Macaca fascicularis: one gene and its partners. The protein of the gene in region 1 purifies or fractionates together with the protein of each later gene. This does not show direct contact. Links are inferred from orthologs where the notes say so. Each region holds a gene or a part of one and is shown in the gene's direction. Other genes may lie near its edges.

Region 1 (4,003 bases):
GCCCCCTTGTTACTTAGACTTCCTTGGCTCTCAGGAGCAGCCTCACCAGGTTGGTAAGGAGCTGGAGGAGACAACTGCTCAAAGGAGTCCAGCTTCACATGCACATACTAGAAGGTACCCTCTAAAGGCCGGGCCTTGAAAGGTAGATCCCAGGATTGAAAAGTCAACTTGTATGCATTGAGCATCTCGTGCACCAGCCCTGTTCCAGAAGCTGTTGGGCCTTTGTGTGTAAGCAGGACAAGTCCCCCCGTGGAGGTTAGCATGGGTGTGCATAGTCATTTCACATTCTTGAGTTGGTACATCTCAGTAAAGTCTATCCCGTGAGAAGCCATGGGTTTCATGGTATGGTTGGCATCTTCCTTAGGAGTGGCCACAGTGGTGGTGGCTTCTGGGAAGAGACTCCAACAGGGGCCAGCTGTGGGCCTTGGCAGATCTCGTTTCTAGGAAAAGTTCTAAGTCTGTAGGGCTAGGGGTGGGGAACCCCTTCCCTGTCAGGATCAAGAGGGCAAGGGGAACTGTCGCTGGGAGACATCCAGCTGGAGAAACTTTAAAAAGAGTAAGTCTGCGTTGCTGCTTGTGGGGTCTTCCCCATCTCAGGGCGGGGACCGGGGGTGGCGGTCCAGACAAGTGCTCAAGGACGATGCCCAGGAGGGGACAGGAGCTCTGCCGGCGGGCTCAGGAAGCCTTCACAACTGCTTGAGCTCACCCTTGCCAAACGAGGGCTGGGGCAGCAGCAACGCGTACACTCACGGCTGTGGGGGCCAGCGTTCTTGGCACATTTCAGGACACCCAAGGAGTCTGAATGGCTCAAGGCTGCTGCTCTGTGCAGGGGGCTAGACGTGGGGCGGACGGGCAGGGCTCCTGGTAACAGCCCTGTAGGCCGCAGTGGAGAGCAGGGCTCCCGCCGGGCCGCCCAGGAGCTTTCGGCAGGCCCGGCCCCGGCCCCTTTCCGAGCAGCCCGGGCCTCCGCCCTGCCCTCGGTCCCCAACGCCGGGAGCTGCCGTTCGTCCTCCAGAGCCCCGCCCGGGCGAGCCCGGGAGGCCGACTGCCGCGCGCGAAACGCGCCGGGACCCGCACCCTCCCCGACGCGGGGCGCCCCCGTGTGGCCGAGCGCGCGGCCGCGGCGCGCAAGATGGCGGCGAGCCCGGGCACCGCCCCTTCCGCCCCGCCGGGTGTCGCACGAGGCCGGCTCGAAGGGGAAGTGAGTCAGTGTCCGCGGACCCGGCCGGCCCAGGCCCGTGCCCGCCGCGGCCTTGAGAGGCCCCGACAGGCCCTGGCCCGGCGGCGGCGGCGGCGGCGGCGGCCATGGCCGGGGGGCCGGGCCCGGGAGAGCCCGCAGCCCCCGGCGCCCAGCACTTCTTGTACGAGGTGCCGCCCTGGGTCATGTGCCGCTTCTACAAAGTGATGGACGCCCTGGAGCCCGCCGACTGGTGCCAGTTCGGTGGGTGGCGGGTGGCGGCTGGCGGCCGGGGGGCGGAGGGCGGGGGGCGCGCGGGCTCCCGGCGCCGACGCCTGACGCCCCCTGCTCCGCAGCCGCCCTGATCGTGCGCGACCAGACTGAGCTGCGGCTGTGCGAGCGCTCCGGGCAGCGCACGGCCAGCGTTCTGTGGCCCTGGATCAACCGCAACGCCCGTGTGGCCGACCTGGTGCACATCCTCACGCACCTGCAGCTGCTCCGCGCGCGGGACATCATCACAGCCTGTGAGCGCGGGACTCCGGGCACCCCACGGCCGGGAGGCCGGCGGGCCCCACGGGGCTCCCCGACCCGGGCCTCAACCTTCCTTTCCTTCCTTGACGTCCCAGGGCACCCTCCCGCCCCGCTTCCGTCCCCAAGCACCACTGCCCCGAGGCCCAGCAGCATCCCTGCACCCGCCGAGGCCGAGGCCTGGAGCCCCCGGAAGTTGCCATCCTCAGCCTCCACCCTCCTCTCCCCAGGTAAGAGGGCCCGGTTGTTGGGCTCGGTGGACCCAAAGAAGGGCCCACCTTGACCATGGCCACGGCTGTAGACCCTGCTGCTGGTCTCTGCCTGCCTCTCACTGGTGTCTTTATGAAGCTTTTCCAGGCTCCCAGACCCATTCAGGGCCTGAGCTCGGCCTGGTCCCAAGCCCTGCTTCCCTGCGGCCTCCACCGCCATCTCCAGCCCTTTCCTCTACCAAGGTAGGTGTCTCCTGCCCCCTAGGGAAGATTCGAGACAAGGAGGAAGGAATTCAGCCTTTGGTGTACCACAGAGCCGCAGTCAGCCAAGCTGGGTCAGCTGGGAGGCAGCTGTGGTGGGGACAGCCTGGAGCCTTCGGCAGAAGGGAGGAGACAGGGACCCCACCTGATCCAGGCTCTCTTTCCACAGCCAGGCCCAGAGAGCTCGGTGTCCCTCCTGCAGGGAGCCCACCCCTCTCCATTTTGCTGGCCCCTCTGTGAGATTTCCCAGGGCACCCACAACTTCTCAGAGGAGCTCAAGATCGGGGAGGGTGGCTTTGGGTGCGTGTACCGGGCAGTGATGAGGAACACGGTGTATGCTGTGAAGAGGCTGAAGGAGGTGAGTGTCGCACCCTGGCAGGGACCCTGGAAGGCCATCAGACAACCCTCACTCACTTCTCCAGCCTTTCCCCCTCGCTTCCCCACACAACTCCTTCAGCCCTCATTCCGGCGCAGGGTCCCTGGCCCCTTGGTTGTTCTGGGCCTCAGGCACGTGGCACTGGTGGCCCGAAGGCCTTCGCTTGGAGAGCCTCACCCTGCCCGTCTTCCCTGCCCCTTCCCCCACCGCACCCTGGGGGCTGCAGGACGCTGACCTGGAGTGGACTGCAGTGAAGCAGAGCTTCCTGACCGAGGTGGAGCAGCTGTCCAGGTGAGGCCAGATGGGGAGCCACACCAGGTCCCGTGGGGCTTCAGACCACACACTACACGACCTGGCTCCCTTGGGCACCTGAGGCCTGCCAGGCCCAGGCAAGCTGAGGCCCCAGCCAGGGCTGCCCACCCAGTCTGGCCTGATGGAAAGTGCTCCCCTTTTTCAAACAGGTTTCGTCACCCAAACATTGTGGACTTTGCTGGCTACTGTGCTCAGAACGGCTTCTACTGCCTCGTGTACGGCTTCCTGCCCAACGGCTCCCTGGAGGACCGGCTCCACTGCCAGGTAGGCTCACCTGGCCCGGCACGCTTCCGAGGACCCAAAGCACTCCTGACACCTGGCTGGAGCCGGTCGCGGGGCCTGGGGCTTTTAGCCTGTGTGAGCGGGTCCTGCTAGCAGGCCAGGCCTGCACTTCCAGCTCCCCAGCAGCACCCCGCTCAGGATTTGGCCCATGGTGGGGTCACTTTTTTTTGAGGTGGAGTCTTTCTCTGTCACCCAGGCTGCAGTGCAGTGGTGTGATCTCAGCTCACCACAACCTCCACCCTCCGGGTTCAAGCAATCTTCCTGCCTCAGCCTCCCGAGTAGCTGGGACCACAGGCACACGCCACCATACTTGCCTAATTTTTGTATTTTTAGTAGAGATGAGGTTTTGCCATGTTAGCCAGGCTGGTCTCAAACTCCTGACCTCAAGTGGTCTGCCCACCTCAGCCTCCCAAAGTGCTGGAATTACAGGTGTGAGCTACCGTGCCTGGCCTGGCCCACTGTTTTCTATAGAGCTCTTCCCCAGGCCCCTCCCCTTTGCAAGCGGAGTAGCTGGAGGGTCTCATCAGCAAGCCCCGGAGGCAAGGGGGTCTGGGGCTACCAGCTGGACCAGCCAGCGCTGACAGAGGACCCCCTTGCCTCCTCCGGCATACTGTGTTTGGGGAGAGTGGGAAGAATGCCTTCAAGGACTTCCCGACCACCCAGGGACAAAGGGATGAGCCCTGGGAGCCTATGCCCAGCAGATTCTATTGAACATGTCCCCAACCACTGCCCAGCCTTGAATGCTTTGACAAGCAGCCAGAGTAGCTTAACAAGTGCAGGTCACGGAGACTTTGCTCCTCGTTTTCCAGAAGGGGGAAACTGAAGCCTAGAGAGTGAAGTGGCTGTTCCAGGCTGCAC
Region 2 (3,995 bases), on another chromosome or scaffold:
TGTAACTTCTTGATGGTCAAATCCAATGATCTAGTTGCAATCCCAAATGTGTTTAACATAATTCTGTACAGCATATACTTGGTTGGCTACTTCTTCATTGGAAAGCTCACCTCTGGTGATGTTCCAATTACTATTTTCCTCACTTCCTCCTTTCAGTCTCTTACTGAAACTTAGAATTTGACATTCGCAGGAATCCATCCTTGGTCTTTAAATCTTCATCTCTAACTCCAATTTTCCACAGTTAGGCTTTATGTCAAACGGACTATATAAAGTTCAACAGTTAGTTTAAAACTAAAACTTGTGCTGGTAGTACAACATGAGCAATACTGACCATCTTGGGGACAGATTGATCTAGTTTGTAAGGACCATAATTGCTTTAAACTCTGAGTGTATTTTCTCACGTCCTGAAAATGGTGATGAAAATATTTGATTTTCAAGGAGACTGTTGATGATTCATTTACCAATCTAAAGCACTAGTGCCCCGCACTCGTAATCCATAACTTGAGATGAACACACCAAAGTGTAAATATCTTATCCACCTAATCTGTGTAAAGTTTGTAACACCAAAATATTAACTTCTGTTTTTGATCACTCAGCCTCCATAGTTATTCATGTTGCATGATCTGATTCGCTCTTTTAGAATTTCTCATAGCGTCAGGGACTAGCTCAAAGTAACAGGAGCAACTGCTTCCTTCCATATCCCACATTGAGGAAAACACATTTTGCAAGCCGTCTTAAAGAAACAGGTCAACTTAGTTGAGGGATGAAACTTAAAAGCAAGCTTCGTCACAAAAAACACAGTTCAACACCACCTCGCCCGTCTGCTGGCAGCTCAAAGGAGAGAAAGAGAGGCCAAGACATACTTCACACAGCAGAGACTAAACGCCAGCTTTTATCTTTCCCGCTGGTCCTTAAGGGACCAACCGTGCTGATTTTCCGTCATGTTCCGCGCCACTTCCGTTCGCGCACTTTAATTACGTCAGGCGTCCTCTCTCGCGGTATCATCCGGTTGCTGAGGCCCTGTAATAAAGGTCTCGCGAAATTTGTTCTAGAGGTCCAAGCTTGCTTCTTAGTTTACTCCACCCCACCCCCAACCTGTCCCTCCTTTTCTTTCCAAGTCACAAAATTCTCCCCTTCCCTCCCCCGGAGTTTACGGCCCACCTCCTGTTTCCGATTTCAGCCCGGAACCGGAAGTGTAGTGGGCGGGGCCCAGCGGCGGAAAACGCAGCGGAGCCAGATCCGGACCCGGCTGTGGCCGCTGCCGCTATCCCCGCCACGGATCGCCGGGTAGCAGGACTGCGCGGCTCCAGCCTGAGGGTCGGTCCGGAGGCGGGTGGGCGTGGATCTCACCCGGATTGTCCGGGCGGCACCGCTCCCGGCCCCACCGGGCGCCGCGAGGGATCATGTCTACAGCCTCTGCCGCCTCCTCCTCCTCCTCGTCTTCGGCCGGTGAGATGATCGAAGCCCCTTCTCAAGTCCTCAACTTTGAAGAGATCGACTACAAGGAAATCGAGGTGGAAGAGGTGAGCGAGGCCCTGCATGGAGACGCCGGTACCGGCCCGGCCCGCCCCTGCCTCTGTCTGGTCCCGGCTCTGAAGGTGCCTCCCCGGCCCCTCTAATTCGCGGGACCCTGTGGGGTCCACCCGGGAGACCCAACAGCCTTCACTGACGTGGGAGTGGGGGTTACTCTCTGAGCTCAACTGCTTGGGAGTAGCTGCCTTTTTTCCTGTCTTGAGTACTCTTGCTTTTGGATTTGATATTCCGGTGATAAACAGGAGAATGAACTGGTGAGACAGTGTGGTCCTCCAGTTCTCGTATCTGTAAGTAGTAGTTTCAGCGAAGATCGTAGCCGTTCTGGAGTTTCAGTCCGCTGGACGTGAAGTTCTTAATGGCCAATAATTGTATTATGTTCGACTTCTACTTCAGTATCTGGCATGTAGGGGATGCTCAATAAATGCTTGTTAAATTAGTAGATCATCAAGTCTAATAAAGTGTTTCCCTTAGCATCGAATGGTTCTCAGTTTCTCCGATACCGCACAGCAATACTCGTAATGTTTAAACGCTCGGCTTTCAGTTGGGCTAACGTAGGTGAATTTCACCATAAGTAACACAGACTGGTCTACGATCAAAAGATGTTTCAAGTAGCATATTCTGAAGAGATAACGAATGATCGGTGACAATCAGAATATAACATTAGACTGGAAATCGCTATCAGAAAACCCATATCCTTTCTTTATTCTGCAGTAATTCATTTTAGAACAAGCTATTTCAAAGTGACTTTAAAGTGTTGCTTTTCAGATTAACAGAGAGGTAAATTGGGTTCTAATGACTATAAAATTTAGAAAAGTAAAAGCTGCATATATATTTTTTAAAGAGACTTTAGAACTTGTTAAAAACTTTGGCTGAAAATACTATATCTTACCATTTATTTGCCGTTTTTTTAATTTATTAAGCACTTGCGTTATATATCCCGTGAAAAACCTAGTGAAATATTATAGATTGTCAACAAGTTATGTCTACTTTAAAATTCTAAAATTATTTTTAAGTGTCAGCAAGTTCGAAGTAGTGAGATAACGTTCAACAAATAAATTTTTTTTTCCTGTGCATGTTTTGGAAGAGTAATGGATTACTGAATTATATACTTTTTATCACATAAAGTAACTTTAGAGATCATTGAGAACATCCTCATTTTACAAGATAATATGGTGGGAAAAGCAAGGTCTTTGGAATTAGAGGAAAGTTCAATGTATCAGATATGCCATTATTAGCTGTGTGATTTGGGGCAAGTTTCCTAACCCCTTTGAATTTTAGTTTTAGAAAGGGCTAATAAATTCTGTTTCATCTTATCTGCATAACAGATCTTAGTAGACATTATATGCAAAACACCTACCACAGGGCCTGACACATATTAGGAAACCTAGTTCCAGAGAGGAAATGTGACCTGCTTTAAGGTCACATGGCTAAAAGAAGACCTGTATTTTGAAAAGAGGGGGGAATGTTTTTAAGTTTTTTTTTTTTACATTGAGGCTATGATAAATTCCTTTTCCAGAAGTGGATAGTTGATCCAACTTTCATGGCTAATATTCTTTTTTAAGAATAAAAATTCCATGAGTCAGTATACAAGAATTGCAGTTTTTAAATAAGCGTTTACGTCTCCTCTGTGGTGAATTGCTATGCTTGTAGACTACAAATTGTTATATAATAATAACTTGTGCTTTATGGTCTACCAAATGCTTTCACAAACTTACTTCATTTGGTTCTTACAACCTTAGTTTTTGTATGCTACTTTCTAAAGCTTTTTACATTCTTGATTCATGGAAAAACAAATTACTAAGGAGGTAGTTATCATTTTGATGTTCTTCCCCTAAAGCTATTTCACTTCTGGTTAGGTTTCTGTGTTTCCAAGACCCTTCTCTCAATTTAGATAATGTTTCAATCTTTGTGTGTATGTGGGTGTGCGTGTGTTTAGGACATTTCTGGGGAGTAGGATTTTGTTTTTAGACGAAAATTTGTTTTTAATATTAGGCAGTCATTTGGGTTTTTTGTTTGTTTTATTCCCCTTCATTTTTAATACTCAGTTCATTTTTGCATTAAAGATTGTATTTGGATCTTTCTGATATTGAAAGCATTACATAATTTCCATCATGTTCTTCATTTGCATACATTAAACCAGTGTTACACAATCCAGAGTGAACCAAGGACACTTATTAGCTATTTGTCAACTTAGATTACACTTCCAGTTCAGTTGTAAGATAACAGAGGAAGATGACCAGAAACAAAAACTACTTTATGTTGCTTTCAATATTTTATATTGTATGAGAATATTACCTTCTAAATTAAGAAAATCATATTATGTATTTCTCAATATAATTGAATTGCATTATATCAATATAATTAGAAACTGTAAAAAAAAATAATTCAACCACAGGCCAAATATGCAATCATTTAGTAGATACATATTTCTAAGACATCAGCTGATCTTGCATTTCTAATAT
Region 3 (3,448 bases), on another chromosome or scaffold:
TTCTCTTCCTCATGATTTCCTACTTTGAAGATGTTTCAAAAAGAAGAATACATAGTGAATATCTGGTGTATCTTCAACCTTTATCTGACAATTAAATGCTCACCTTTTTTGCTGAACTGTTTGCAAAAGGAAATTGTATACATTTGGCACTTAGAATGAGACATCCAAGTCTTGTGCACGCATTGCCTGAAAAGACTCCCTGTCCAGTGCAGCACTGTCAGCTCACGCAGCCTCACCAGACCAAGGCCTGATGCCATCTGCCGTCTGTCCATCCATACTCAGACTTGCCTACTTCTCCAAAAATATGTTTTAAAACTTGGGGTTTTTAAATTTATTTTATTTTATTTTATTTTGAGACAGAGTTTCTTTCTTGTTGCCCAGGCTGGAGTGCAATGGCATGATCTTGGCTGACTGCAACCTCCGCCTCCCACGTTCAAGCGATTCTCCTGCCTCAGCCTCCCAAGTAGCTGGGATTATTACAGGTGCAGCCACCAACACAGCAATTTTTTTTTTTTTTTTTTTTGAGACGGAGTTTCACTCTTGTTGCCCAGGCTGGAGTGCAATGGCACGATCTCAGCTCACCGTAGCCTCTGCCTCCCAGGTTCAAGCAATTCTTCTGCCTCAGCCTCCCTAGTAGCTGGGATTATAGGCATGTGCCACCACGCCCAGCTAATTTTGTATTTTTAGTAGAGAAGGGGTTTCTCCATGTTGGTCAGGCTGGTCTTGAACTCCTGACCTCAGGTGATCCACCCACCTCAGCCTCCCAAAGTGCTGGAATTACAGGCATGAGCCACTGCACCTGGCTTTTTTTTTTTTTTTTTTTTTTTTAAAGTAGAGACGGAGTTTCACCATGTTGGCCAGGCTGGTCTTGAACTCCTGACCTCAGGTGATCCACCCACCTCAGCCTCCCAAAGTGCTGGGATTACAGGCGTGAGCCACCGCGCCTGGCGTTGTTTTGTTTTTTAATCAGCAGTGGTTTTGGATTCCAAAGCTCTCAGTACCAAGGCCCATGCATTTGGTCTAGCTGTCATGTACTCTTCAGTTTCTCAAACTGGAATTGTCCCCCACTATGTGTTTTTCATAGCATCAGCCTCTTGCAGAGTCCGGGCAGTTTGTCTTTTATGGGATGATCCATCATCTGGAGTTGTCTTTTCTGGTGTCATCACCTCTGTGTGGTGCTGGGTGAGGTGTTAGTTGGAAGTTCACATGCTTGAGCTGCCTGTAGTGAGCTTGTCCAAGGGAATGAGCCTAATTTCTTTCTGCTGCTTCATTCTAGGACTGTGAGGAATGTATCCAGCTGGAGCCGACCTTCAGTAAGTACCTTTCTGCTGCCTGTCCCCTGTCTCTAGCCAAAAGATTAGAGAAGGAAAGGGCAAGCCCTTTGTCTACCTGTGTGTCCTTGGGACCTGTAGCATTTAGGATCCAGCATCAGCAGGTGTGAACAGTGTTGATGTGCAGGTGAAGAGGTGCAAGGAGCAGCCTTGGGCGCTGCGTTTGGATGACGCACCACCTCTCCTGTCTGTAGTCAAGGGTTATACACGGAAAGCTGCTGCCCTGGAAGCGATGAAGGACTACACCAAAGCCATGGATGTGTACCAGAAGGCGCTAGACCTGGACTCCAGCTGTAAGGTGGGGCTGCTTCTGGGGCTCCAGGGCTCCCCCTGCCTCTTTCTCTGTTGGGTCTTTTCCACATTCAGTCCCTGATTTCTTCCCTGTCACCTCCATTTCTCCGTTTCTCTCTTACTTGCTCTGTCTTCCCTTGTCAGTTACCTCTGTTATCTTGGACCTGCTGAAGTAGTGAGCTGGGTGGTGCCAACACTCTTCGCCTTTGTCTCTTCTGGACTGCAGGAGGCGGCAGACGGCTACCAACGCTGTATGATGGCGCAGTACAACCGGCATGACAGCCCCGAAGATGTGAAGCGACGAGCCATGGCCGACCCCGAGGTGCAGCAGATCATGAGTGACCCAGCCATGCGCCTTATCCTGGAACAGATGCAGAAGGACCCCCAGGCACTCAGCGAGTACGTAGAGTCAAAGAGGTGGCCTTGCTGGAAATGGAGAACAAAAGCAGGCAGATGAGTGCACACAGCTGGGAGGGGTGTGCTCGGTATGGGAGGAAGAGGAATTCTGTCATTCTCCTAAACTTGAGGAGATTGGTAGTGGGTGGAGAGCTGGAAGGGCCTTCCTTGTTTGTCATGATAGCTTGAGCAGTCATTTGGAAAGGCCCATTTAGCTGGGAGAAAGGTCTTAGCTGGAAACTGTGTCGTGGGCTTGGAGTAGGACTGGCAAGTTCTGCGAAGTGGAGCAGGCCTCCGCAGCTCTGCGCCCCAGGCCTCGCCAGGACCCCTCCTTGCCGGGGCCTTCTGTAGAGGGGGTTGAATTGGGGCTTGCTCTGAGAGGAAGTAAGGAAGTAAGATTTTAAAGGTTGTCTCATTTCAAATAACTGCCTCTTCCTCTGTAGACACTTAAAGAATCCTGTAATAGCACAGAAGATCCAGAAGCTGATGGATGTGGGTCTGATTGCAATTCGGTGATGACTTGTTCATCCCCCTTCCCTTCGCCCTCATGTGGAAAGAGGAGCTGGGACCGCGGCGAGCAGCACGGAGCGGAAGGGAGAGCAGGGGAGAGAAGGCCTCATCTCTCTATATTTATACATAACCCCGGGGAAGACACAGAGACTCGTACCTGCGCTGTTTGTGCCACCGCTGCCTCTGGGCCCTCCCAGCACACGCATGGTCTCTCCACCGCTGCCCTCGAGTTCCGTATCTCCTTCCCCTGCCCCCAGTTGCTGTCTCGGCTGCTCTCCCATAGTTGGTTATTTTTTATTTGGGGCAGTGGGCATGTATGGGGAGGGGAGGGGGTTCTTCCAGCCTCAGGTCCCAGCTGTCTCACGTTGTTTATTCCGCGTCCCCTTCTCCAATAAAACAAGCCAGTTGGGCGTGGTTATATGTTGCTTTGGCCTTGAGTGTGTTTTTTTTTTTTTTTAACCAAGAGTTTGTCTTGCAGGGGCTGCTCCTGGAATCTGATCTTGCTCTTCTCTTCGGGGTGGGCTTAGGAGGAGTCAGGTGGCTTGGCACAGCTCCATGGCTTTGCTGAGAGGGTTGCTAGGTGGCGCTGTTGCTCAGTGGCTGGAAGGACATCTGGAGGCTTCCCCACCCCAAGTGGTACTAATGAGAGGTTCAGATAAGCTTTGGGGTATCCCCGGTGCTGTTAGTTCTCCACATTATAGTCCCAAAGTTAGAAACTGGCTAGATCCAGAGAACAGAATTTCAGTGTGACCTCTGTGGGGGAAGGGCAGCTATACTGTCAGTTGCTGTTAGATTTAGGAGTTGGGTCATGGATTATTTTTGTTTTGTTGTTTTGTTGTTTGAGTCTCAGGCCGGAGTGTAGTGGTGCGATCTCAGCTCACTGCAACCTCCACCTCCTGGGTTCAAGCGATTCTTCTACC
Region 4 (3,500 bases), on another chromosome or scaffold:
CTTCTTAGAGCACAGACACCTTTCTCAGAAGCCTCCGAGAAGATATCCTGTGTCATCAGTCAGAGCCCAGTCATGTGCTGTGCCCACCTGTAAACCAGCCATTGGGAAGATGGCTGGGAGTGTCGTGTTGGATTAATCAGGATTCCCCCCACCAGCCCCAGCCATGTGAACAGTAGCTGAGCTCTATCACCAAGAAAGCTGAAGGGAAGAGCTGTGGCACAAGCACCCAAGAGTGTCTGTCCTATCATCATGTCAAGCTACATGTGCCATCTACCTTTGAGAATTTAAACACTGATTGTTGTGTAAACATAATGACCCTGACTTGTTGGCTTAACATTTTTTGAATTTTCTAGCTTTAATAGAAAGTCTTTCTTTATGGCTATCCTTTTTTCTCTATCCTGACAGTGAGTACATAGAAAGCACTTTTAGATATCAGGATAAGGACATGGCACAAGTATAACTGAAAAGAGAAAACACATCAGATTCCTGGAATCTCATGGGGTTGTGGGGAGGGTAAAAAGAATCTTAGAGGGAGAAGTCCAGGCATCCATTTTTTGCAAATTCTTGAGAACTATAATATGTGTCCAGTGATAAGTCATTCATCCATTCAACACTTCTTTTATAGTGTCGAAATAATTGTGTATTTTATCCTTGTGATTATTAGCTTTAAATAGAAAATGAAAATGCATCACCTTCCTCCCCTCTGCCTCTACACAGTGTATTAAAGAAATTCCAGAATCCTTTCCATTTCAACATCATCTTAACCTACTTTTTCTGTTCTGCCATGTGCTCTCCAGGAAAAGGCAGCAAAGTGGAAAAACCCTGATGGCCACATGGATGGGCTTACTACTAATGGTGTCCTGGTGATGCATCCTCGAGGGGGTTTCACCGAGGAGTCCCAGCCTGGGGTCTGGCGCGAGATCTCTGTCTGTGGAGATGTGTATACCTTGCGAGAAACCAGGTCGGCCCAGCAACGAGGAAAGCTGGTGAGTGCGCTTCACTCTGCAAGACGTTCCAGACTACACAAGCCTAACTCCAAGGCTGTCGTTTTTCCCTCCCCTGACGTTTGGAACCTTTGTGCAGGTCCAAGCGCCGTGTACCATAACTCAGCAGAAGCAGAATTCCACAAGCCCCAGAAAGCAAGAGGGAAATGGCCTTATCTCCTTCAGTGGTTCAACTTTTTGGGAGTAAATTGTGTTTTGCTCCTTACCACCTGAAGAATATTTTTTATTGTATACCTCACCACACAAATCTGTTTTAATTCACTTTAAGAAGAATAAACTTACTTTTAGTGTAAAACTTTATTGATTTGGAAAACATTTGAGCAGTCCAAAAACAATTAGTAAAAATTATGAATTAAGGAATTATTTACTAGACTTTCTGGAACTAAAAATAAGTCAGCTGGTTTTCCCCTTGAATTCCTATATATTAAGGCAGAATTCTCTATACTGTCCACCAAAATCATAGTTAGAACTTTTTACTTGAGATGATTTATATATTGCATTGACCTGGCATGTTAATATTTTCCTATAAATATCACCACTTATACCCGTGCCCTAAAGCAGTTTTTTAAACCCATTCTTTCTTGGAGAATAATTATAATACCTTAAATGTGTAACTCTGAGTTTCTGATCTTGCCATAGCCATATAGCACAGCCACTGATTTTTAGTAAACTCTCCATTCCTGTACTTTTGCTTAATTTGCTAGGTAGAAGCTAGAATGAGAGAGAACAAATGTCTTTTTCTAGAAGCTAGAAGAGGAGTTCTTCAAAACTCCCACAGAATAAAATGTATGCGGAATAGAGAATTTGACCTAGCACTTGTTAGAAAGATCATCATCAAAAATGTCTAAGATGGAAAAAGAAGCTGGGGGCTGTTTTGCTAACCTCATTTGCTGTTCTCTACTGGATGTTTGTGTTTAGGGAATGGTTATTTTTATTTCTATTTTACACCGTTTTTCAGCTACAGGCACAGCTTATGCGTCTTACAGTGCATTATGGCTGAATAAAAGAAGCATTTTCTAAAAAAAAAAAAAAAAAAAAAAAGCAAATTCAATAAATTTTGTATAAATGTTTTCAAGAAATTGTAAACAAAGAAGGAAATGTGAAAGCAGTTTTTCTAAATAATCTTTTGTTTCTGATCACTGGATAGTTTTATGCAAAACCGACCTAGATTGGCCAAACTGGTTATTCATCATTATAACAGCAAGAGTAAGAAGTCAGTAAATGGTTGCTGGGTGCAGGCTCTGCATTAACATTTTTGACATTAGCTCACTTCATCTGCACAGCAGCCCTCTTAGGGAAGTAGAGTCATCCCCATTTCATGGATGAGGAAGATGTGGCATAAAATTAAAGGTTGTCCAGTGTCACAGAGTTAGAAGGTGGCAGCCGATGAGATTCAAATTCAGGTCTCCCTGATGGAGAGCCTGGACACCTAATACTACTCACTCAGTACCATGTTGTGGGGAGCTGGGGATGGTTTACACCTGAGCATTTGCCTCCCTGGGTGAGTATAAAGCATGCACTAGAGTCCGTGGGGAGCGCCTTTGTCCAGGAGGGCAAATCACAGGATGAGTTTCTCGTCCACTCTGGTTATTGTGTAGCGACTCTTCTTAGGCTGCTACATGTGCCGGAGAATTTTACAGTGTGACTGAAAAGAAAGAACTCCAAAAATGGCTTCTATTAATGGGTTGTATTAAATATACAGGCTATTTTTGAAGTTAGTCCCTATAAGCGACACTTAAAACTCTGTAAAATTGTGCCGTCCCATTTGATAGCATCTGATTAACCTGACCAGTTACAGAGGCTTCCATCAGCCTGACCTTGGGCTTATGGTACACTGAACGGATAATCCTTCCTGCAATCTCCTCTTGTTAACCTCTGGAGAACATTTTTTTGGTCTGTCTTCGTGGAAAGTTTACTGACTCTTTGAGCTTCTGTTTTAATTCATGACTCATTGGTCCTGTACATGTTGCTGGTAGCATTCGATATAAATTATGTTTATCTGGAGATTAGATTTTGGGGACAGTCTCTGGCAGTACTTGTCATTTGCAGTCTAATACAGCAATTTGGGAAATAAAGTGAGCTGCTAAAAGTCTAAAATATTTGTTAAAACAGTAGTAGTCACATTGTGGAGCTAGTGCTGGTGGAAGATTATGTATTCATGTCATACTCAGCATTTGATATGAATCAATATACTAATGTATCTGTAACCAGAAATCACCATTGTTTTTCATTATTACAGCAAATGATGGAACCTCAGAAAGGTATACTAATCAACAAAATTAATTAAATGTGGGGGAAATGTCTTTTCAGGCCTTTAAACCCTGAATAAATAGGTGAATGGAATTTGAATTGTGCCCTACTTTTTTAGCTAGTTAATGATAACATATGGTAACATTTATAATATTAGTCTAGGGGGCCCTTGAGTATTTAATTAAATTATATATGAAATATTTTATTAAACTAAACTGGCTTTGTATAAAATTAAGTAAATTCAGT
Region 5 (3,500 bases), on another chromosome or scaffold:
AATGGCCAGTCCTCCCTGCCTGGGCCCTGCCTTTTCCTCCTGGCTTTTCTCTCCCCATCCCGACCTGCTTTCCCCTCCCTGGCCCTCAGAAGAGTGGAGAGCGCATGGGAAGTACAGAGGCAGCTGTGGGAGGCAGACCCCATGTCCTCTCCAGCCTGTGCCCCGGCTGCTCTGGGGCTTGGGAGGTGGCAGCCGGTGGAGCAAGGATGGGGCCCGGAGGGCTGGGGAGGAGCAACTAGTGTCCCTGAATTGGAACTGGAGGAGGATAGCAGCCCAGGACCCTCACTTTCCCCAGCCCCAGACCTAGCCCTGGCCCTGGCCTATCCTGGTGGAGAGAGGGAAGGATCGTTGATAAACGACCGTGAAGCCCGTGCTGCCTGAGGGGTCTCATTGATGGGGTGTGGGTGCAGGTGGGAGCCTTGTTCCACCGATGAGATGGGAACTCGAGACGGGCCCATGATGGTGCGACCGCAGGGAAAGGGCGGCCCCTTCCCTAATGCCTGAGGCATCTCCCTCTTCTCCCCCAGAGAGCCTTCTCCATGGACGACCGCATCGCGTGGACCCACATCACCATCCCCGAGTCCCTGAGGCAAGGCAAGGTGGAGGACAAGTGGTACAGCCTGAGCGGGAGGCAGGGGGACGACAAGGAGGGCATGATCAACCTCGTCATGTCCTACGCGGTGAGCTGCCGGCCTGGTATCAGGGGCATCGGGGAGGGGCGGGACGCGTCAGAGGCCTTGGGGTGGGGCGGGTCAGGGTATGTTGGGACACATCGGGGCTGTGCCACCCCGCAGACACCCTGGTCTCTTTCCTGGAGGCACTGAGTCCGTCAAACAGCAGGGCTCAGCGTTCTGAGGACAGAGGGAAGGGGCCCTGGGTGGTTTGGTGGCAGAGAGGAGCTGCCCCGCCCACTGCTCCTGCCCATCGATTCTGTCTGGGGAAAGAGCATCGGGGTTGTTTGTGTTCCTAAGATGGGCCCACCCTTTGTGGTGGTCTCCACTGCAGGCCCCTGTGTCCTCGGAGGTCCCTCACAGCCCTTCCAAGCTCTGCCCTTAGGGTCCAGCTGAGCAGCCCTCCAGGGTCTGAGATGCAGCCCTGGGCCCTATGGGACACCAGGCTCCTCCCAACAGGGCAGGCACTGGCCAGGGTGTGGAAGGGCATCTCTGGAGATGTGGGGGAAGCCTGGGGGCTGCCGCGCTCGGGGTCAGGAAGTCGAGGCCTGGCCGTGGGGCCAGCACGTCAGCTGCCCTGGCTCCCAGCTGTCTATATCCTCAGGACACCTGCAGCTCCTGGGGGCATCGGGAGGGCCAGTTAGAGGCTCCAGGACGCAGAACTCCTACCGTCTTCTCTGTGTTATCACTCAGGGATTCTCTGTATTATCACTCAGGGATTCTCTGTATTATCACTCAGGGAATTTTTAGGTTGTTGCTGAAAAATGGTGCTGTGGGAAATGCAAGGCCCATGTGACAGTGGAGAGGGCGCAGCAGGGAGCCGCTCTTCTGGGCCATCTTGGCTCCTCCCACTCCCTTTTTGTTAACGCCGGGATATTTTAAAGCAAGTCCCAGCCATGAGTGACCACGTGTAAATGTCTCAGGACGCAGCTTTAACCGATGCTTTCATACGCAGAACCGTCATGACGCCCCAGTGACTTTACCTGCAGGTGACAGTTTTCAACTCAGAGACGACAGCAGTGCAGTGACTTATCTCAAGTTGACAGTTTTAAACTCAGACACCACAGCTGTGCAGTGTGGTTCCCCCCAGGCCCCCTTGACACCTACACTGGGATGTCCCTCCTGACACCATCGTCTCTCCGTCACATCCCAGTTAGCGGGGGGTCTGTAAGCCTGAGCCATGTCACCTCCTGGACGTGAGGAGGTGGCGCGGGGGGTCTGTAAGCCTGAGCCATGTCACCTCCTGGACGTGAGGAGGTGGCGCGGGGGGTCTGTAAGCCTGAGCCATGTCACCTCCTGGACGTGAGGAGGTGGCGCGGGGGGTCTGTAAGCCTGAGCCATGTCACCTCCTGGACGTGAGGAGGTGGTGCGGGGGGTCTGTAAGCCTGAGCCATGTCACCTCCTGGACGTGAGGAGGTGGTGCGGGGGTGGGAGTGGGCCCCGGCGTCCCCTGTGCACTCAGGGCTCACAGCTGGGTTCGGGGCTAGCATGGGGAGGGCGATTCCTGAGGTTCTGATGGGTAGATGTTCCTTCCTGACCCCGGGACCATCTCCGCTGTGTTCCAGCTGCTGCCAGCTGCCATGGTGATGCCACCCCAGCCTGTGGTCCTGATGCCGACGGTGTACCAGCAGGGCGTCGGCTACGTGCCCATCACAGGTGCGTGTGCTCCCTCCTCCCTGGGTGCCTCCCCCCTGGTAGAAACCCCAGGGCCTAGGGCGGGCGCAGGACAAGGGAACAGGGCTTAGAGCGCCGGTGGGGGGACGCCATCCGTTCTAGAATCCTGCAGACGTGCCGACTGCACGCAGATCCTTCTAGGCTAGGGAGCCAAGGATTACGTTTGAATTTTGTTTGCATATCTAGAGAATAGAATTGGTTTTTTTTCTAATTGTTGGCAGAAATGAGATGAGTTGAAATTTTCAGAGGTGTGGAAATGTGACTGAAACCTCGTCGTGCCCAGCTCTCTGCAGGAGAACCTCACACCCCTGTCGGGCGATGCATGCTCTGCACTGCGCTGTTGCAGCCGTTGTCGTGTGTCACTGTTAAGAGTGAGCAGCCGGTGGCTGCAGCAACACCAAGCGGGAATGTCGCTTTTCACGCTGTTGCATTTTTGGTCCAGCTGTCGCTGTCGTAGCAGCTGGTGCAAGGCCAGCCCCCACCATGGACGGGCCCAGCGTCCTCAGCAGGCGGGGGGACAGCAGCCCCTGAGGAGGTGCTCGGGGGGAGCCTGTGGCCACCCTGGTTCTCCACCCAAGGTGGCCTCTCATTCCGGGGAGCTGGTGTCTGGCAGAGCGTGGGTCCCTCTGCACTGGGGGACCAGGCCATGGAAGTGGCCAAGTTGCGGGCAGGGCGCTGGGGATGCGTGGTGGTGTTGGGGGAGGGTCTCGGGGCCTGCGTGAGGCCCCGGCTGCTTGTGCTCAGGGGCTGCTTTGGGGTTGGGGTGGGACAGAGCTGCTGGCAGGCGAGAGTGCTGTCAGGCCGGTGCTGGTGTCCAGCCCAGCTGGAGTGGAGAGGCCTGGTCCGCACCCCAGTCCTGGCAGCATCCCGTACAGATGCAGAAAGGCCACCTTGGGAGTCAGGACCTTGCCCTAGACCCACCTGATGTGGCCTGAAACCCAGCCTGGTGGTGGGAAGGAGGGGACGGCGCTGGGAGACTCTGGTCTGTCCACTGGTGTTCAGGACATTCTCTGACGAAACTGCTTATGAGAACAGCATGGCCCTGCCCTCACTTGCTCACATCGAGACTCTGTTTCCAAGTAAAGCCGCCTGCGCAGGTGCCAGGGCTGCCTTTCTCCAGAGGAAAGAGCAGAGCCCGTGTCTGAGCAGGGCCTC
Region 6 (3,500 bases), on another chromosome or scaffold:
GGCAATGGCTTCTTGGACTTGGAGACCCCACCTGGGAGCCTAGAAGGTCTAAGGAGTTGGTGCTGCCCCCTTCTTAGGGCCTGGCAGCCTCCTTTTTTGGTGACCTTGCATACAGAGCAGCTGCCGGAACTGTGGGTGGGGAGGCCTATGAGAGTCCCCTATGTACATGCAGTCGCTGCTTGCTTTCCCTGTCCTCACAGATTGGCCGCTCCACAGAGAACATGATTGACTTCGTGGTAACAGACACATCCCCTGGAGGAGGGGCTGCCGAGGGCCCTTCCGCCCAGAGCACCATCTCTCGCTACGCCTGCCGCATCCTCTGTGACCGCCGGCCGCCCTATACTGCCCGCATCTATGCAGCTGGCTTCGACGCCTCTAGCAACATCTTCCTTGGAGTGAGTGAGCCCCAGGAAGGGACCAACTCTTCATCTGTGAGGCAAGGGGTAGGCTTGGGAGGTGCAGCATCTTGATGTGATGAACCAGCCCACAGTAATCCAAATGATGGTCCTGGCAGGGCTTAGCAACCCCAGCTAACTGATGAGCAAAGTGAGGCCCAGAGAGACACTTAAGTCATGCAGCTTCAATGCCAGTCCTCTCTGAGCCACCTCTGAACTTGAGGGTAGGGGGGCAGTGCCTCTGGCACATAGCCTGCTGGGGGGCCCCTGGTGGATGTGATCTGATCCCTCATGTGGTCCCAGGAGCGGGCAGCCAAATGGCGGACCCCAGATGGCCTGATGGATGGACTGACCACCAATGGTGTTCTGGTGATGCACCCGGCGGGCGGCTTCTCTGAGGACTCAGCCCCAGGTGTCTGGCGGGAGATCTCGGTCTGTGGGAATGTGTACACATTGCGGGACAGCCGCTCAGCCCAGCAGCGGGGCAAGCTGGTAGGTGGCCTGCTCTATTCCCCACCCTCATCCTTGCCAGGCCCTCACAAGCTGCCCATCCCCCTGCCCAAGCCAGGAGATGATCTCTAGTCCTTCTGCCCCAGGGAGCCCCAACAGGCTGCATGTTGGGGAATCCCAGGCCCAGGGAGTTCTTAGCATGTGCCACAGACAGGCAGACAGACCAGGGTCCCCAAGCATAGCGTGTATACCACTGGAGGTCCAGGGGGTGATGTGATCAAGGCACACACAGACATACTGTGCAGTCCCAGGTGGCTTCGAGGCTGCTGGCAGCTTAAAAAAAAAAATCACACCTTCTTATGAGAGTGACACTGGCCCATGTGTGAGCAGTTTATAGCCTGAAGTGTTGGCAGTTTGTAGCATGTCTGTCACATTCAGACAGGTTTAGCACTGTTCTCTCTCAGGAGGAAAGGGTCCTTACAGTAGTTCTGACACAGGTGTTAGTGGCAACTCCTTGTGGTGCAGATCAGAGAGCTGAGGTTAGGGAGCCCAGAGTGAGTCCTAGAGAGAGGCAGGGGCTGCCCAAGGTCACATGGCCATGCTCCTCAAACGGGCCATGCGTTGCTCTTCAGGCATGAGCACATTGTCCAAGGAGATGCAAAACCTCAGAGAAAAGCATGGCTTTTCTTTGCAGAGCGTCAACTCTGTGGGGAGGTCTGGGGAAGCATTGTTTGGTAAAATGATGCATGTGAATGTTTCACAAGCCTACTCTTCTTAAGCACTATTTGCCACACACTGTTCTAAGTTTTTACACTGAATGATTCATTTATTTATTTTTTTTTAATTTTTTTTTGAGATGGAGTCTCACTCTGTCACCCAGGCTGGATTGCAATGGCACAATCTCAGCTCACTGCAACCTCCACCTCCTGGGTTCAAGTGATCCTCCTGCCTCAGCCTCTCAAGTAGCTAGGACTACAGGCATGAGCCACCACACCCGGCTAACTTTTTGTATTTTTAGTAGACATGGGGTTTCACCATGTTGGCCAGGCTAGTCTGGAACTCCTGACCTCAGGTGATCCACCCGCCTCAACCTCCTAAAGTGCTGGGATTACAGGCGTGAGCTACCGCGCCCGGCCTGATTGATTCATTTAATCTTCACGAGAACCACTTGAGATGCCAGAAGGTGCAGTCCATCTTGAGGATGAGGAAACTGAGATGGAGAGAGGTTAAGTTACTTGACCAGGGACAAAGTTAGTCAATGGTAAGGCCAGAATTCAGCCTGGGCAGCCTAGCTCCTGAGTTTTTGCTTTTAACTGTAACTACTGGGATAGTTGCTTTGAGCTAAGTACCCAGCATTCCCTGTTAGCTTTGAGCTAAGTACCCAGCATTCCTTGTTAGAGGCCTTTCCTGCCTCTGTCAGGAGGAGGGCACTTCAGAAAACATCTTATTTTAGAAAAACCCTGTCTGGGTTCAGACTCCCTGATTAGACAGATGGAGAAACCAAGGCCCATGCCCCGCTGGGAGGGGGGGTCAGCATGTGCCTGGGGTGTACCTGCCCGTTCGCTTGGCCTCCCAGCCTGCCTTGCCCCTCTGCCCTGCCTGCCCTGCCAGCCAGGGTGTCCTCTCCAGGGAGGCTCCGTGGGATGGACCCTTGGCTCAGCGGGGGCCTCTTGGGCAGTAAGGCCCTTCTACTGCCTCTGGCAGGTGGAAAACGAGTCCAACGTGCTGCAGGACGGCTCTCTCATCGACCTGTGTGGGGCCACACTGCTGTGGCGCACACCGGCGGGGCTGCTGCGGGCTCCAACACTGAAGCAACTGGAGGCCCAGCGGCAGGAGGCAAATGCAGCGCGGCCCCAGTGCCCCGTGGGCCTCAGCACTCTGGCCTTCCCCAGCCCAGCCCGTGGCCGCACAGCACCCGACAAACAGCAGCCATGGGTCTACGTCCGCTGCGGGCACGTCCACGGCTACCACGGCTGGGGCTGCCGGCGGGAGCGGGGCCCCCAGGAGCGCGAATGTCCTCTCTGCCGCCTCGTGGGGCCTTATGTGCCTCTATGGCTTGGCCAGGAGGCCGGCCTCTGCCTGGACCCTGGGCCGCCTAGCCATGCCTTTGCACCTTGTGGCCACGTCTGCTCTGAGAAGACTGCCCGCTACTGGGCCCAGACACCACTGCCCCACGGCACCCACGCTTTCCATGCCGCCTGCCCCTTTTGCGGGGCCTGGCTTACTGGCGAGCATGGCTGCGTCCGCCTCATTTTCCAGGGCCCGCTGGATTAGGCTCCCTGGGGCCCCCTGCTGCTGTGCCCACCTGCCCACCCAGGTCCCCACCTCCTGCAGCCCAGAGGGAGCTCTGCATGTGGGACACTCCCTGCTGGCACAGCCACACCAGATGGACATGTTGGATGGGCTGTGCCCTTCCCCCCAACTGTGGCCCCCCAAGGAGGTCCCCAAGATCTCCACCCCAGTCATGCTGATGGGGCCTTCAGAACCAGTTCTGTCCTGGGTCGATGGAGGAAAGCCCAGCCCCATGGCCTTGCCCTTCCTGGGGCATCCCACATCGTGCCGCTGACACTGTGTGCCCCTGGGGGAGTGAAGGGGCCAGGGGCCCCTGACCCCTAGCTTAGGCTGGCTATGCCCTGAGCCTGCCAACCCAGTTTC
Region 7 (4,207 bases), on another chromosome or scaffold:
TGGGCTTTGCCAGTTTTTAGGTATATTGTTATGGAGTATTTTTGCTGACAAGGACCATTCAGGTAGGGCCATGAAATGCTAGTGTTTCATAACTCCTGATCTCTAGGGGAAGATATTTCTAAGACTACAATCTGAGAGGTTTAAAAACACCTCTGGTGTTTTCACTTGATGGTCACTGCCCACTCTTCCAGTCATTAAGGCTAAGCTTTTTCTCACCACTTTGAAAACAACTTTTTGTCACTGGTAACATGCCTTGTGTGACCTAGAGGATTTCGAAACAACAATTTTACTTAAACTCCGTGAAGATTTCAAAACAATAATTTTACTTAAACTCCATGTTGAAGGCAAAAAGGAAGATTATGTGAAGCACTTTGAGGAAGGAAAAAATGATGGAACGATATTTCATCAGGGAAGCCCATGAGGAAGAGAATTTCTTAAAACCAAGTAGGTGTATGGAGGAGGGGCCGCCTCGTGAAGAAAACGAGCATAATTTTACTCTCATTTGGTGTCTCTTCTGTTTTTCTGTTGTTGATATCTACATTCATCTTTTCCAGTAATAATCCCATATATGCACATTTTTATCTGTTTAAATTCAGTAAAAGTTGGGAGGAAAATGTGTCAAAACTTTTAGAGGGTAATGGGCTGAGTGGGGTTGTGAGTGATTATCTTCTTTTTTCAGTTTTTTTTTTTTGTGGGTTTTCCAAGTGTTCCTCGATGAACATGGATAGCTATTCTGACAGGATAAAAAATAAATAGTCCGGGGACAGTGGCTAATACCACCAGTCCCAGCACTTTGGAAAGTCGGAAGTGGGAGGATCGCTTGAGGCCAGGAGTTTGAAGCCAGTCTGGGCAACATAGCGAGACTCCCTCTCTACGAAGAAAGAAAAAATAATAATTAACTGGGAGTGGTGGCGCGCGCCTGTGGTTCCAGCTACTCAGGAGGCTGAGGTGGGAGGATCCCTTAAGCCCAGGAGGTGGAGGCTCCGGCGAGCTGAGATACAGCCACTGCCCTCCAGCCTGGGCGACACAGCGAGAACCTGACTCAAAACAAAGAAAAAAAGGAAGAAAAGAAAGGAAGGAAAGAAGGAAGGGAGAAACTTTCAGAAACAAACTTTTTAAAGAAGTAATGACATCTCTAGCTATCCACACCAGGAGACCGCCTAGCCATGGGGCACGGTGGGCCCCTGGTAGCTCTGAGCTCTGGGCTTTCTCCAGTTCTCACTCTGCTTGTTTCAGCAGCTCCATCCCCAAAGCAGAGGTGTGAAGGGGCGCAAAGCCAGCGAAGGGAGAACCCGGGTTGGGTAACCCCCCAGGCCAGGCCAAGCGGCCGCACGGGCATCTCGGGCTAGGCGCGCCTTGCGTCACGTGGGCACCGCCCCTGCCGGGGCCGGGGAACTGCGTGTTCCTAGGGCTCTGCCGCCGTCGTGGAAGCAGGATTTCCGCGGTTGTGTAACGGCCTGTCGCGGGCCTGCAGGGGCCTGGGCTCCGCCTCGTTCCCGGGGCTCGGGCCACCGAGCCATGGCGGGGAACTGCGGGGCCCGCGGCGCGCTGTCGGCGCACACCCTGCTGTTCGACCTGCCGCCCGCGCTGCTGGGGGAGCTGTGCGCGGTGCTGGACAGCTGCGACGGCGCGCTGGGCTGGCGCGGCCTGGGTGAGTCGGCCAGGACCGGCCGGGGGCGGCGGGGGAGCGGAGCGCGCCGCGGGGCCAGCTCGGCGTAGGCTCCGCGTCGCCCTGCACGGCTGGGGTCGCTCGCGGGGCTGGCGCGGCCTCCGGGAAGTTCCCGCCGGGGAACCGGCCCCTTCCTTTCCCGGGGAGGACGCAGAGACTCCTTGGGACCCAGAAGCCAGCCCTGCCTTCTCTGTTTCAAAGAATTTTGGGTATCGCAGCAATGTCAAGGGAGCCGAGGCCTGGGAAAGACGGATAACCCGCGTGAAAGCATCTTCTGTTCGTCCGCAATGCCACCCTCACTGGGTTCGCAATGTGTGATGTCTTCTGGCCCTTGTGAAATCATCCCAGAATATCATTTTCGTATTAGGACATTTTTAGAACTTTGAGATATTTATCCTTTGGTGTTTTCAATGCATGCCTAAGCCCCTAACTTAATTCCAAGTGAAATGCTAAAGTAAAATACGATTTGCAATGAACGTGGCTCCTAGTTTTCTTAATTAAATCTTATTTAACCAATTTCGTTGAATGAAGGTTTATGCTCGAGTGGCTTTTTATTTTAGTCTAAAAAAATTGGCTTCAGAACTGTATTTTATGCAGACATTGGAAAGTTGAGCAACTGCCTGTTGGAAGTGTTGAGTGTAGCCAGAGATAATTCAGACAAAAATCTTTGTTTTGTTAAGTATAGGCATTTTTGGTTAGATTTGATATTCCACAATGTCATGTTTAATGTTTATTGAAAAGAATCATGATTATGTCAAAATAACTTAGCTTTAATGGTCTGAAGTAGGATTTTTCTTACCAGGACTAGCAGAAGACCTAAATGGAGAGTTTTCTTTGTTACTGATGAACAGTGTGGTCACAGTCTTTGAATTGTAGCAATGGGCTTCTAGTTATACAAAAAATGTTTATATATTTTAAGCTCTGTAATTTTAAGTTATGCCCCCCCCCAAAAAAAAAAGTCTGATTTCTAGAAAACAGAGACTTCCAGTGTGCATATGAGGGATTTTGAGGAATAAGGTCACTTCCCCATCAGATCTTTTTGAGATGGATTTTGGCGTCGGCAGTATTTATACCCCTGGATTTCCTAGAGTTACTAACTGTGAAAGAAAAGTGTTTTTAGTCCAGTTTAATGTTGGTGAATGGGGCCAGGTGGGTATCATAAATTAGTGAGGCAGATTATTCTCTCTGTTGATAGCACTGAAATCCAGATATTCATGCTTTACATGGCTTGTCTCATATAACCCCTCCAGTTACTCTGTGAGCCATTATCATTGCCAGTGTTTTTTAACAGGTCAGGAAACTGTGGTACAAATTGGTTAAGTAACTTGTTCAGGTTCACCAGCTGGTAGTGGAAGAGCCAGGATCTGAACCATGGCAGTCTGGATCCAAGGCTTATGTCCTTAACCCCAGCCACTCTACACTTCTTCCCTTACTGCTGTGCTCTTTTTGGCCACATCTAACAGCCTCCCTAAAGTACAGACATTTCTGGCATCAAAGAACAATTCAGTGATCCATTTCAAGCATGCAGCCCCATTTCCCTAGTGGTGAAAATAAATGAGGACCACCCAAATGAGAACAAACAAAAGCTAATTTTTCAAAGCAAGGGAGCCAGCCACCATTACTTGTGTTTGGCAGAAACTCAAAAGCAGGCAGAGGACAGAGGAGGGTGGGAGAAGGCTGCAGTTATGTCCTGATTGGAGGCTATTGATACAGGGAAGCTGTAGCTGAGCTACCTAAAAGGGGGGTATGCTGTGTGTTTGTTTAGGGGTATATAATTGACTTTCTCTGATTGGCCCTAAGTTGGAAGTAGGAGCAAAAATTGAGGAAGCTGTCAGTAATTATTCAAGTCCTGGCCATTTGAGGCAGGTTGCTACAGGGTTTCTTGTTTGGCTGCCTGGGCTGGTTGCTACAGTTTAACCCAGTTGCTGATAGTTTAACTTGTTAGATACTGTAGATGGTAGGTTGGTTTCTTGGACTGGTTGATGCACATTGTCTGCAGAATTCTGTTTTTATATATAAGCTGGCCATTGTCCGTTTGTGTATTCATTCTCTCATAGGGCAAGGGTCTAAAATGTTTACTCCATGATACTTCAGCCGTAATTCATTGTGCAGGTGGTCATGCCTACTGACTGCCTGGACTACTGAGCTGGCCCTGACCAGGTGCTGCACAAGCTGTTGGCTCAGCAAGAAGGCAAGGCCAGCTCAGTTCAGGGTGTTGAGGCAACTGCCTGTACTAAACGTGCTGAGTTGTCCTGTGGGCACAGTGAAGGGAGAAAGAGGGGAAGAGGTGCAGGGAGGGAAAACTTAACCTTCGAGAGGGGAAGGAGAGTGATGGAGGACTGAATCAAAGAGGCAGTCCCTTGTATGCTCAGGACAGCTGACAGCCCAAGCTTAAATATAGAAAACAACCGTAATATACTAAGTAAAGCTCTCTCAAGCTGATCATGATTCTTGATGATGGTGAGTGTCAGTCTATGTTTACCAAGGCAGCTCATATAGCAGCCTATATGATATGATCAGTGTGTGCAGGATAAGGTA

The links.
Region 2: the proteins of IRAK1 (region 1) and MAP3K7 purify together in Homo sapiens (affinity purification with western blotting; 5 studies listed by BioGRID). This does not show direct contact. The link is inferred for Macaca fascicularis from reciprocal best matches to the Homo sapiens genes IRAK1 and MAP3K7.
Region 3: the proteins of IRAK1 (region 1) and STIP1 purify together in Homo sapiens (affinity purification with mass spectrometry; 3 studies listed by BioGRID and IntAct, with this or other methods). This does not show direct contact. The link is inferred for Macaca fascicularis from reciprocal best matches to the Homo sapiens genes IRAK1 and STIP1.
Region 4: the proteins of IRAK1 (region 1) and PELI2 purify together in Homo sapiens (affinity purification with western blotting; 7 studies listed by BioGRID and IntAct, with this or other methods). This does not show direct contact. The link is inferred for Macaca fascicularis from reciprocal best matches to the Homo sapiens genes IRAK1 and PELI2.
Region 5: the proteins of IRAK1 (region 1) and TOLLIP purify together in Homo sapiens (affinity purification with western blotting; 11 studies listed by BioGRID and IntAct, with this or other methods). This does not show direct contact. The link is inferred for Macaca fascicularis from reciprocal best matches to the Homo sapiens genes IRAK1 and TOLLIP.
Region 6: the proteins of IRAK1 (region 1) and PELI3 purify together in Homo sapiens (affinity purification with western blotting; 7 studies listed by BioGRID and IntAct, with this or other methods). This does not show direct contact. The link is inferred for Macaca fascicularis from reciprocal best matches to the Homo sapiens genes IRAK1 and PELI3.
Region 7: the proteins of IRAK1 (region 1) and IRAK3 purify together in Homo sapiens (co-immunoprecipitation; 3 studies listed by BioGRID and IntAct, with this or other methods). This does not show direct contact. The link is inferred for Macaca fascicularis from reciprocal best matches to the Homo sapiens genes IRAK1 and IRAK3.

What each region holds. Positions count from the first base shown.
Region 1 is NC_088395.1:160,087,061-160,091,063, reverse strand, and holds the start of IRAK1 (interleukin-1 receptor-associated kinase 1), read left to right. Parts: upstream 1-1,203; 5' UTR 1,204-1,305; coding exon 1,306-1,441; intron 1,442-1,533; coding exon 1,534-1,701; intron 1,702-1,803; coding exon 1,804-1,935; intron 1,936-2,053; coding exon 2,054-2,157; intron 2,158-2,344; coding exon 2,345-2,533; intron 2,534-2,777; coding exon 2,778-2,842; intron 2,843-3,012; coding exon 3,013-3,127; intron 3,128-4,003.
Region 2 is NC_088378.1:84,782,202-84,786,196, forward strand, and holds the start of MAP3K7 (mitogen-activated protein kinase kinase kinase 7), read left to right. Parts: upstream 1-1,195; 5' UTR 1,196-1,403; coding exon 1,404-1,523; intron 1,524-3,995. UniProt on the Homo sapiens protein: Serine/threonine kinase which acts as an essential component of the MAP kinase signal transduction pathway. Plays an important role in the cascades of cellular responses evoked by changes in the environment.
Region 3 is NC_088388.1:10,193,092-10,196,539, reverse strand, and holds the end of STIP1 (stress-induced-phosphoprotein 1), read left to right. Parts: intron 1-1,276; coding exon 1,277-1,313; intron 1,314-1,525; coding exon 1,526-1,629; intron 1,630-1,848; coding exon 1,849-2,021; intron 2,022-2,461; coding exon 2,462-2,534; 3' UTR 2,535-2,948; downstream 2,949-3,448. UniProt on the Homo sapiens protein: Acts as a co-chaperone for HSP90AA1. Mediates the association of the molecular chaperones HSPA8/HSC70 and HSP90.
Region 4 is NC_088381.1:124,162,042-124,165,541, forward strand, and holds part of PELI2 (E3 ubiquitin-protein ligase pellino homolog 2), read left to right. Parts: intron 1-797; coding exon 798-986; intron 987-3,500. UniProt on the Homo sapiens protein: E3 ubiquitin ligase catalyzing the covalent attachment of ubiquitin moieties onto substrate proteins. Involved in the TLR and IL-1 signaling pathways via interaction with the complex containing IRAK kinases and TRAF6.
Region 5 is NC_088388.1:1,223,321-1,226,820, forward strand, and holds part of TOLLIP (toll-interacting protein), read left to right. Parts: intron 1-527; coding exon 528-680; intron 681-2,236; coding exon 2,237-2,327; intron 2,328-3,500. UniProt on the Homo sapiens protein: Component of the signaling pathway of IL-1 and Toll-like receptors. Inhibits cell activation by microbial products. Recruits IRAK1 to the IL-1 receptor complex. Inhibits IRAK1 phosphorylation and kinase activity.
Region 6 is NC_088388.1:7,918,657-7,922,156, reverse strand, and holds part of PELI3 (E3 ubiquitin-protein ligase pellino homolog 3), read left to right. Parts: intron 1-200; coding exon 201-395; intron 396-698; coding exon 699-887; intron 888-2,549; coding exon 2,550-3,119; 3' UTR 3,120-3,500. UniProt on the Homo sapiens protein: E3 ubiquitin ligase catalyzing the covalent attachment of ubiquitin moieties onto substrate proteins. Involved in the TLR and IL-1 signaling pathways via interaction with the complex containing IRAK kinases and TRAF6.
Region 7 is NC_088385.1:72,978,740-72,982,946, forward strand, and holds the start of IRAK3 (interleukin-1 receptor-associated kinase 3), read left to right. Parts: upstream 1-1,407; 5' UTR 1,408-1,518; coding exon 1,519-1,651; intron 1,652-4,207. UniProt on the Homo sapiens protein: Putative inactive protein kinase which regulates signaling downstream of immune receptors including IL1R and Toll-like receptors.